Caenorhabditis elegans: one gene and its partner. The protein of the gene in region 1 interacts with the protein of each later gene in a pairwise test. Each region holds a gene or a part of one and is shown in the gene's direction. Other genes may lie near its edges.

Region 1 (5,957 bases):
TTCTTCAACGGACGTAACCCACCGTACTCCCAATTTATTGACACTAAGATTTTGATGAAGAAACCCGAACGAACAATGGATTTGTATGTGACTTTGAGAAAAAGTAGCGAAAGTTCCACCGGATGGACTGCGTTTAATTTCACATAATTTTTATTTTTTTGAATAATTATTTTTCGGGGAACTTGGTTTTGAATAAATTTTTAACAAATTGAACGTGGCTGCAAAACCTTGTAAGATATGAATTCTCATTAGCTGAGAAATTAAAATCACAGGCTTTCGAGAAAAAATTGGCGGGAAATTCGAATTTCTATTTAAAAAGTTTACAATATGCTAAAAATCTAGACAAACTTTAACTTTTCATATAAATTTGGCGGGAAACTCGAATTTAAATTTTTTTTTTTCAAAATATTTAAACAATTTTTTTTTTCTATTTAGAAGTTCAAATATGAGTTATTTGAAATTTCTTTTTTCTAAAAATTTTGCACGAAATTCAAATTCATGGAGTTCGCTCTGGTTCAGTGGCTGGTCTTCTAATGAATTATGTTTGTTTTTTCGAACATCGAAAGGAAATAAGCGGGACTCATTTCATTGCTTCCTCCTTCATTGCTTCCTCCTTTTCTCCCTTTCGAATTGTACTACGAGACCCCCTTTGTGCATTATTATTTTACCCCCATTTTCCACCCCAAGACAGTCTCAAGTTATAGGAAATCTTCACATGATTTGCTCACAGTGCATGCACACAAAAAGTTATAAGATCTGAAGAGAGACGCAGACAGATTATTCAAACAGCAAGGGCTCCCACCACCGGAGAGGATCTGCGGATTCCGCCGTAATTTTACACTATCCGTCGGGGGCCGGACACTACTACACTGCCCTTTCCGCTGAACAGACGTTTCTATTCGTTTTTCATCGATTTTTGCATAAAGTTCGGGTTTAGTGGGTTTAGTAAACCTAAGAATTTCTAGGTTTTTTATGAATTTTAGGTCCTTTTTTTGAATTTATATAATTTATTTTAATGTAAATACTATGAAATTTTTATTTTGATTTTTTCCGAAAAAAAAATATCAAAAATTCCAGAAATATTTCAGCCGACCCATAGCCGCCGGGTATAGCACTAGAGCCTCACGGCAGTACATATTTATTTAGAAACTCTAGTATTCCACGTGAAAAAATATATTTAAATATACCAGAAATTTTGAAGGAGTTGACGACTACAGTACTCCTTAAAGGCACACGTTTTTCTGATTTCAAGAAAATTTATCGGTTCGTGCCGTAGTTTTTGAGAAATCCGAGTGCCGTAGTTTTTGAGAAAAAATTTTCCTTGTGGTTGCCCATATAATTATTTTCATGACGAAAATCTGAAACGATGTTTTATGGGTCTGCTAAATATTTATCATACCCAACTTTGGTCTGCTAAATATTTAGCATACCCAACTTTGGTCTGCTAAATATTTAGCATACCCAACTTTGGTCTGCTAAATATTTAGCAGACCCATTTGGGATATTGAGTTTATCCTGAAATGATGATTTCCTTTGTTTAAATCCACTCAAATTCCGTTTTTTCTCTGAAATCCTCTAATCCCCTGAAAAAAACCTAAAAATATATTTTTTTTACTATATAAATTCGGATTTTTCCAGAAACCCCACATATTTTCGACTTTTCCCGAACTTTTCCCACTCGTTATCTCTATTTCTCTTCTATTCCCTAGGATATCTCTCCCGCCTGGGAGCTTTTCGAAAGCTCCAGAGCACCTGGGCGGAGCTCCCGCGGCAACTGGATTTTTTACCGTTATTCTTCATTCATTTTTCCAGGACATTAACAAATTTTCTTGCAGTGAAAATTTTTATTTCAAAAAAAAAGAAAAGAAAGTCAATTTTAGGATGTTATACATCTCCAAAATTCGTTAGTTTTAGCTTTAAAATCAAAGTTTTCATAAAAATTAAATTTGAAATCCCTCCAAAAAATAGTCTGCGCTTCACACTCTCTAACACGTGCCGGTGGAGCGCGCTTGCATTTTTCCTTTTTTGTTAATTTTTTTTTGCGGGAAACTTTTCGGGAAAATTACTCTAAAACTCAATAAAAACAGCTTTTAAGTGCATTTTTCTTGAAAATTAGTTTCAAAAATGATATTTTAATCAGTTTTACACCATTTTTGTCGATTTTTCCTCTTTTATCCGTCGAATTAATAGTATCTCCTGACAAAAATAATGATTTTATAGTTTTTTTTTTTTGGTTTTCAGCAATGGTTGCTCGAGTACAGACTGCGGAGGAGATCCGCGACGAGGGAAATGCTGCAGTTAAGGATCAGGATTATATAAAAGCTGATGAATTGTTGGTTTTTCTGAAATTTCAGTGGAAAACTGAAATTAAACTGATTTCCAGATACACTGAAGCTCTCCAACTCACCACTGACGAAGACAAGGCTCTTCGGCCGGTTTTGTACAGAAATCGAGCAATGGCTCGGCTGAAAAGAGACGATTTTGAAGGAGCACAATCGGATTGCACGAAAGGTTTACAAAAAACCTGGAAAATTTGCTGAAAAACCTAAATTTACAGCTCTGGAATTCGACGGGGCCGATGTAAAAGCTCTCTTCAGACGATCGCTGGCTCGTGAACAGCTTGGAAATGTTGGGCCAGCTTTTCAAGACGCAAAAGAGGCTCTGAGGCTCTCGCCAAATGATAAGTGCGTGGAAAAACTAGGCGAAAACCGATGAAAATTAAAAGAAAAATAATTTTTTCTGGCACTTTCCAGTTATATTTCAAAGTTTTTATGACCAAATTTCAGTGAAAAATGCAAAAGTTGCAAATTTTGGGTCTGCTAAATATTTAGCAGACCCAACCTCCCGAAACTGATTTTTAAAGCTAAAAATTATTAGAATTTTCAGACGTTTCTCTCCGAAATATAGCATGCCAATAGAAAAATTGACAAAAATCAAGGTTTTCTCATCGAAAATAGCAAAATAACTTTTAAAAATCTACAGAAACTCACAATTTTTGTTTAAAATGCCAACATTTATAAATTTTCTAAATATTTAGTTTTAAATTTGTAATTTTCTCACTTTTTTCTGTGAAAAAATATGCAAAATGAAACTGAAAAATCCACTAAAACATGTTTAAAAATTTATCTTGAAGAAAAACGTAGGAAATTTCAAATTTGCAGCTAAAAAATCAGCGAAAAAATTTTTTTTTCAAAATTTGAGGAGGTTGGGTATGCTAAATATTTAGCAGACCCAAGGAAAAATATTTAGCAGACCAAAGATAGGTATGCTAAATACTTAGCAGACCAAAGATAGGTATGCTAAATATTTAGCAGACCAAAGAAGGGTATGCTAAATATTTAGCAGACCCAAGGTGGGTATGCTAAATATTTAGCAGACCCAAGGAAAAATATTTAGCAGACCAAAGATAGGTATGCTAAATATTTAGCAGACCAAAGATGGATATGCTAAATATTTAGCAGACCAAAGATGGGTATGCTAAATAATTAGCAGACCAAAGATGGGTATGCTAAATAATTAGCAGACCCAAAGAAAAATATTTAGCAGACCAAAGTTGGGTATGCTAAATAATTAGCAGACCAAAGTTGGGTATGCTAAATATTTAGCAGACCAAAGTTGGGTATGCTAAATATTTAGCAGACCAAAGATGGGTATGCTAAATAATTAGCAGACCAAAGTTGGGTATGCTAAATATTTAGCAGACCCAAGGAAAAATATTTAGCAGACCAAAGATGGGTATGCTAAATATTTAGCAGACCCAAGGAAAAATATTTAGCAGACCAAAGATAGGTATGCTAAACATTTAGCAGACCCAAGGAAAAATATTTAGCAGACCAAAGATAGGTATGCTAAATATTTAGCAGACCAAAGATGGATATGCTAAATATTTAGCAGACCAAAGATGGGTATGCTAAATAATTAGCAGACCCAAAGAAAAATATTTAGCAGACCAAAGATAGGTATGCTAAATATTTAGCAGACCAAAGATGGATATGCTAAATATTTAGCAGACCAAAGATGGGTATGCTAAATAATTAGCAGACCAAAGTTGGGTATGCTAAATATTTAGCAGACCCAAAGAAAAATATTTAGCAGACCAAAGATAGGTATGCTAAATATTTAGCAGACCAAAGATGGGTATGCTAAATATTTAGCAGACCAAAGTTGGGTATGCTAAATATTTAGCAGACCCAAGATTTTCTCACAATTCCACTTTTAAGCACTTAAAAATTCAATAATTTCACTCAAATTTCTATTTTTCAGAGGAATTGTTGAAGTTCTTCAGCGTCTCGTAAAAGCCAACAATGATAAGATTAAGCAGACCACTTCACTGGCTAATAAGGTTGGTTTTGTGACCTGAAACCACGAATTTTAAATGAATTTTCATTGAAAAACCCCGAAATTTTCTCAGGTAACTGACATGGAAAAGCTAGCGTTCCGTGGTGAGGCGAAGGACACCGAACAGAAAATGACTGCGTTGAACAACTTGTTGGTTTTGTGCAGAGAATCTGAATCCGGAGCAACAGGAGTTTGGAATCAGGTATAGTTTTGGAAGCTGGACGAAAAATCTACATTTACTGGGAAAATTTAATGGAACTTAAAAAAAAATTTAAAAAATGGAAATAAATTGAAAAATATACCGTATATTTGAAAAAAAAATGCAAAAAAAAACTGAATTTTCTAGATTTTCAGAGCAATTTTCAGATTGTTTTTCGAAAAATTTTGCAGTTTTTATCTAAATTTTTCCGATATTCCTTAAATTTAATTGTCGAAAGTTCAATTTTAATTTTTTTAAAGAAATTTTTTTAAACTGAAAATTGTAATTTTTTGTAGATTTTTAAAATTTATTTTGCTACAACGAGAAAACCTTAATTTTTGCCAATTTTCCGATTTTGTAGAAACATTTGAAAATTCAACTTTTTAGCTTTTAAAAAATCAGTTTAAAAAAAATTATTTTTCAAAATTTTAATTTTATCAAAGTATCCCGAATTTGAATATTTTCCTGCAAAAATACCCAAAAAAAAAATTCTAATTTTTCCATATTTCCAGGGCGCACTTGTTCCATTCGTCCTGAACCTAATCAACGACGCATCGGAAAACGAGGAGGTTACCGTAACCGCAATCCGAATTCTCGACGAGACCATCAAAAATAGCGTCAGATGCATGAAATTCCTAGCTATGCACGACCCAGATGGCCCAAAATCCGTCCGTTTTGTGTGCCGGCTAATGTGCAAAAAATCCACAAAAGACTTTGTGGATGCCACTGGAATTCTGGTGCAACGTGTCTTCAATGCAATGGCTAAAATGGATCGGCAAAAGGAGATGAAGCCGGATCCAGAGGTGGCAGAAGCCAATAAAATCTGGATAATTCGTGTGCTCTTGGAGCTTCAAGAGATGCTTCAGGACCCGAAAGTTGGTGCAGTTCAGCGTGAGACGTGCATCGATTTATTCCTGAAAAATCTGATGCACATGGACGGTGGAATTCCACGTGGATGGTCGTGGAAGTTTGTGGAAGAACGTGGATTGCTCGCGTTGCTTGACGTGGCAAGTCAGATACCCGAACTGTGTGAATATCCGGTTTCTGCGGAGACTCGGCAACACGTGGCAATTTGTTTGCAGAGATTAGAGGAGGATATGGTTTTTGATACGAAACGGACTATTTTTAAGGAGAAAGTCGATATGTTCTTTAAGTACGGAACAAGGAAATCGGAAAAAAAACGTTTTTTGATTCGAAAAACTTAATAATTGTTAGATTTTTGAACTGGAAAAAGCAACAAAAAAAAATTAATTCGAAAAACGTTTAAATTTTTAAATTTTTGAATTTGAAAAAGCGAAAAAAAATTATAAAAAAATAATTTTTCCTCGAATCGAAATCTGAAAAATCGGATTTTTTAAATTTAAAAAATTGAATTTTGTTTTGATTTTTACTATTCAAAAATAGATTTTTAAAAAATAAA
Region 2 (5,995 bases), on another chromosome or scaffold:
CAGCGAGAATACCGGCTCGCGGCAAACACCGGTGCCTTCTCCAACCCTTTCTGAGCGTTTTCCTTATTCGGTACACAAACATAAGCTCATCCCTCTCCGTTCACTCCGAACGCATCTCAGTCTCTTCAGATTTTGAACTATTTCCAGAGAGGCTCTGCTGAATTTTTTGTGTTCGCAATTGACTCCACGAGGCGCATTCTTTTTTGATCTTCCACCCGCCGCCTCCGGTTTTAGTTTTCTGGCCGACCTCGTCGTTTTTCTATTTTAAAACCGTTTTGCGCTCTTCCTATAATTCTATTTTCGCTTCGATAGTTTTTTGCGATCGAAAACTTTTAATATTGTCCAATGCTTAACTTTGTCCATCAATAAAATCACAATTAGCCCCGAATTCTTTTTTATAGGCGCAAGTGAATATATCAACGCATGTAACCTCGATTTAGAACTTTTATCGCTTCTTATTTTCTTTGTTTCTTCTATCAAAAACTGTTCGTTCTGGAAAATGCGCCAACATCACTTATTCGGATAAAAACACTAGTGCGCTTGTCATCCGTGTTTATTTTGCCATTGACTGTGCGTCCGCACTGTGATGAAAGTGATTGATCATCATTTCTGGTCAGTTTCTGATCACTTGATCGTTTTTCCAGAACTGATTTGTCTTTAATAGCTTGCCAATCTTCTTTTTTTAATGCCCATATGAAAATTGATATCACAAATATAAATATTTTTATTTGTGTTATTTTTATTAATTCATTTTGGCACTTTTTAAGCCACAATAGAAAAATAAAACATTGTTCACTGATAAATTCTAGGCCGACATAGATTTTTTACAGTAAATTGTTCATCGCTTCGAGACCCGCGCGCGCGAAAAGCTCGATGTCCCTTTAATTTTCGAAATAACTTCTAGAAAGTGACTTTTTAAAAAACTCATTTGGAATTAGTTTTTGTTCAAATTTTTGGAATTCGATTTTGTAAAATACCCGTTTTTTTCTTTTGAGAATTATTCGAAGTAGCTTCATTTTTCGTGTTATCTCCTGTTTTCAAAACTAATCACTTCCTCTGCTTTGCGCTCTTACTATATGTGGAAACAACTGTTTCCTCACATTCTTTTACTTCTTCAGGCAGATTTTTTTCATTTTCGGCGCAATTTTATGATGGCCGTCAACAGCTCGTCATCACTTGTCGGAAGCACTGAAAGTGGAGAGACTCTGTAGCGATTAGGCAAATGTTCGTTTTAATCTACCTCCATCAGCAGCGTTTTTAGTAGTAGACCGTCCCAATTTTCGCTTTTGAATTGAAATCGCTTCTTTCCTCGTTTCGCTTTCTACTTTTCGGATTTTGTCGGCTTGTACCCAGAATTGAAAACTAATGTTGTCGTTCTTTTTTCCCACATCACGATTTTGGTTTCTATCCATGTCTTCCTGTTTCCGAATAAGAAAGTGTGGAATTTAGCTTATTTTCTCCTTTTTCTCTATTATTTTATTATCGAAACAAGTGGTAAATACAGGATTATTAGCAGCTACTTATTGCCGATAAGAATTTCTTCGTATTTTAATCACTTTCTCTATTTCTCCGCTCTTCCTTTTCTCTGTTGACACCTTCACACCTTCGCAACGTATGCAGATTTGCTCTGGCGATAAAATTGCCGCAAGGCGCTGGTTTGAAATTTGAAATGGCAGCCGGCTGTCTTTTGTCACCGAAGCAACGCTTCTTTCGTTACTCCCGATTTACATACATTTTCTCCTAAAAATAGTGAACACGAAATTAATTTTTCATTACAACCCATAACGATTATACATTTTTTGATTATCAGCAAGTTCATAGGAGAGAGTAAATTATTATTTTGTTGTCATAAACAAAAAGTAGCTATAAAAAAAACAACGTCGAAACCAGTATTATTCCCTATTTCATTGTGACACAAAAAAGTAGTCCCAAAATGTGATAAATCACAAGTTTCCAAATGAGACTGCCCTTGATGAATAGTAACGAATTGAATAGAACAAGCTTCTTCTCAGTCTCTTAGCGGAGAGGAACACCGGCCGATAAGTGTCCTTGGCAAGTTGCACATGCTTGCAAGAGGCGCCAATTCAAATCTATCTTTTCTTTCCACTTAATCCTACACCTCCTCACTTTGTTTTTCATAAATGTTGAGTGGCGCGAGAGATGGATATTGAGGAATGTATATTTCGGCACCACCGGGGATAATAAATTTTTATGAGGCACCATGCAAAACCGTAGATCTTCGCTGTCTTCACGTCCAGTACGGGAAAAAGTGTTTCATTGCCGAAATGTTTATTTTTGCGTTTCCGAACCTGATAACCGGACAATATCGTAGAATGGGAGAAGGAAGGGCAAATACACAGTGATATGTTCATGTAAATATTTCACGTTTTTTCCTGTCTCAACTCAACATTTCACCAACCTATCGTTTCTCTTCGTTCTCTTCTTAACTTTCTTTAACTCGTGACTTATGTTCAATTATTCCAAAATATTTCAGATTCACCGAGCCTGTTCACCGAATCGAAAAAAGATTGGGAGCATCCAATATGGACGGAGGCGCCACTCTTGGCAGGGGCCAGTTGTTCCCGCTGCAAAACTTCAAGGTGAGAATTATTTAAATCCTACTATTAGATGCCATTTCAGTTTTAATAGTTTTTTGTTGCTCAACTTTGTTATTCAAATAATTTTGGAAATTTTCAGAAGGGAGTTCGTATTTGGCACCGCCACCCAACCCTTGTATGGATTGGAGCTACTTTGGAAGAGGACATCACATTCCAAACACGGAATGTTCGGATAAGGCTCGAAGATGATACGGTGAGAGAGTTTATCGCATTAATCGTTTTCAAAAACTTATTCGTTTCAGGAAGTCGAGTACGCCATCAAGTCATTGGACCAGTTGCCATTCCTCAGGAATCCTGCATTTCTTGTTGGCAAGGATGATCTCACACTTCTTTCCTATCTTCACGAGCCGGCAGTTCTTCACAATCTACAAGTTCGATTTGTGAAAGGATCATCGATCTACACATATTGTGGAATTGTGCTTGTAGCAATCAACCCTTACGCCGATTGCTCGCACATTTATGGAGAAGAAATTATCCAAGTGTATCGAGGAGCTGGAAAATCAGCTCGTGAGATGGATCCTCACATTTTCGCTGTAGCAGAAGAGGCCCACTTCGACATGGGAGCTTTCGGAAAATCACAATCTATTATTGTGAGTGGCGAGTCTGGAGCTGGAAAAACCGTATCTGCGAAATTTGTCATGCGCTATTTGGCATCTGTTGCAGCCAGCAAGACCAGAAATGGCGGGACCACCAGCATTGAAGCACGTGTGTTGGCGAGCAATCCGATTATGGAGTCGATTGGAAATGCCAAAACGATTAGGTTGGTTTATTTGAAATTAATCTTAATTTGTCAACTGTTTTTATTTTCAGAAACGATAATTCGTCTCGATTTGGGAAGTTCATACAGATTAACTTCTGTGAACGAGGACGAAGGATTGTCGGAGCCGAAATGAAGACATATCTGCTCGAGAAAAGTCGTCTAGTATTCCAAGCACCTGGAGAGCGCAATTATCACATCTTCTATCAGTTATGTGCCGCTCGGAATCATCAAGTTCTCAAAGATCTTCACTTGGGACCTTGCGAATCGTATTCGTATCTCACTCAAGGAGGAGACAGTCGTATTCCCGGAGTTGATGATAAAGCTGATTTCGAGGCTTTGCTGAAAGCGCTTCAGTTGCTTGGATTCGACGAAAAGCAGATGTCCGATGTATTCCGCCTTCTCGCTGGATTATTGCTTCTCGGAAACGTGCATTTCGAAAACGGCGAGGGCTCGTCCGCTGTATCTGCTAGCAGTTGTCAGGAGATTTCACGACTTTGCCGGGAGTTTTGGAAAATCAGTGAATCCGATCTGAGAATTTGGCTGACAAGGCGAGAGATTCGAGCTGTGAATGAGATCGTGACGAAGCCGTTGACCAAAAATGAAGCTGTTCGTTCGAGAGATGCTCTCACGAAAATGCTGTATTCCCATTTATTCGGATGGCTCGTCGACAAAATCAATGAAGCTTTGAACGAGAAGGATAAGCTGGACGGAACAAATCAAAAGAAGCGGCCAGATCGTTTCATTGGCGTCCTTGATATCTATGGATTCGAGACATTCGATGTGAACTCCTTCGAGCAATTCTCCATCAATTATGCAAACGAAAAACTACAACAACAATTTAATCAGCATGTCTTCAAGTTGGAGCAAGAAGAATATATTCGTGAGGAAATTGAATGGGTTCGTGTTGATTTCCATGACAATCAGCCCGCTATTGATCTTATCGAAGGTCCTGTCGGAATGATCAATCTTCTCGACGAGCAATGCAAACGTCTGAATGGATCTGATGCTGACTGGTTGAGTCAATTGCAGAATAGCACGGAGCTGAAGAGAAATCCACAGCTCGCATTTCCAAAAGTTCGGAGCAACGATTTTATTGTTCGTCATTTCGCTGCTGACGTCACATACAGTACGGATGGATTTGTGGAGAAGAACAGGGATGCGATTGGAGAGCAACTTCTTGATGTTGTCGTTGCCAGTAAATTTCCATTCATTCGCACAGTCATCGGATCAACTGCACCAACCTCCGTCTCTTCATCATCATCTTCATCGACACCCGGAAAACGTACGATAAAGAAGACTGTGGCCAGCCAATTTCGTGATTCACTCAAAGAGCTCATGTCTGTACTTTGTTCGACGCGTCCACATTACGTCCGATGCATCAAGCCAAATGACAGCAAAATCAGTTTCGATTTCGAGCCAAAACGTGCGATACAACAACTTCGTGCGTGTGGAGTTCTTGAGACTGTTCGAATTTCTGCTGCTGGTTTCCCATCTCGTTATCCGTATGAGGAGTTTGCTCGTCGATACCGTGTAATTTACACGAAGGAAGCTGCCCTGTGGAGAGACAAACCTAAACAGTTTGCGGAATTAGCATGCCAACAATGCTTGGAAGAAGGCAAATATGCAGTTGGAAAAACGAAAATCTTCTTACGTACTGGACAAGTTGCCGTTCTGGAAAGAGTTCGGCTCGATACGCTTGCAGCTGCTGCAACTGTGATTCAGAAGATGTGGAAAGGATTTTTGGCCAGGAGAAAATACGAAACGATGAGAAGATCTTTGCTCATCGTCCAGGCATCGTTGAAAGCATTCCTCGCATTCCGAAGAATCAAGTATCTCCAAATGCATCGTGCTGTGATAGTCATGCAATCTGCTGTTCGTGGATATTTGGAGCGACGGAAGTATGAACAAATTCGCGATTCAATCATTGGGATCCAGGCAATGTTTAAGGCGAATCGCGTCAGAAGATATGTGGAAAAGGTATGATAATTTGTTGAAAGTTTTTTATTAATTGTTTTTAATATTCCAGCTTCGCTATGAGAAATCTGCAATCACAATTCAAGCAGCTTGGCGTGGATATTTGGCGAGACGTGAGCAAATCGCTAACAGGAAAAAGGTGGTCATGGTTCAGTGCGCTGTCCGTAAATGGCTTGCCAAACGTCGTCTCCGGGAGCTTAAGGTGAGTTTGACTTCTTACTTATTCTAATATTAATTTTTCTGTTTCAGATAGAAGCACGTTCAGTTGGACATCTTCAGAAGTTAAACACTGGTTTGGAGAACAAAATCATCGAGCTGCAAATGCGATTGGATATTGCAGTAAGTTGAAGTTTAAGAGTAGATTATGAGAAAAAGCACTTAGTAATTCATTGTTTGCAATCACAATCAGCTTATGCAAAAATGCGCATTTTTTTTTGTAGTCGGAGACAATGTGCAAACATGAAATTTTTGCTCTTTCATCTCAATCAAAAAGCCTTCGAACGAATGAGAGAATTGTTAAGAAAGTTGTTGTATCTAAAACGGCAACATTGAATGAGCATGAGCTCCCTTCCCCTTTTACGATCTGTTTTATTTGCTCTTCGGAATATTTGATTGAGTTTCGGCAACTTTGTAGGCAGTGTAT

The links.
Region 2: the proteins of unc-45 (region 1) and hum-2 interact in a two-hybrid assay, tested with the Caenorhabditis elegans proteins (one study listed by BioGRID).

Annotation. Positions count from the first base shown.
Region 1 is NC_003281.10:489,306-495,262, forward strand, and holds the start of unc-45 (UNC-45/Cro1/She4 central domain-containing protein), read left to right. Parts: upstream 1-2,241; 5' UTR 2,242-2,243; coding exon 2,244-2,332; intron 2,333-2,383; coding exon 2,384-2,511; intron 2,512-2,557; coding exon 2,558-2,684; intron 2,685-3,101; exon of another isoform or gene 3,102-3,530; intron 3,531-4,263; coding exon 4,264-4,342; intron 4,343-4,411; coding exon 4,412-4,540; intron 4,541-5,049; coding exon 5,050-5,690; intron 5,691-5,957. Other genes in the region: F30H5.5 (Salivary lipocalin), read left to right, coding at 1-147.
Region 2 is NC_003283.11:9,383,687-9,389,681, forward strand, and holds the start of hum-2 (Myosin motor domain-containing protein), read left to right. Parts: upstream 1-2,488; 5' UTR 2,489-2,543; coding exon 2,544-2,600; intron 2,601-2,697; coding exon 2,698-2,811; intron 2,812-2,860; coding exon 2,861-3,378; intron 3,379-3,426; exon of another isoform or gene 3,427-3,428; coding exon 3,429-5,355; intron 5,356-5,404; coding exon 5,405-5,554; intron 5,555-5,601; coding exon 5,602-5,691; intron 5,692-5,995.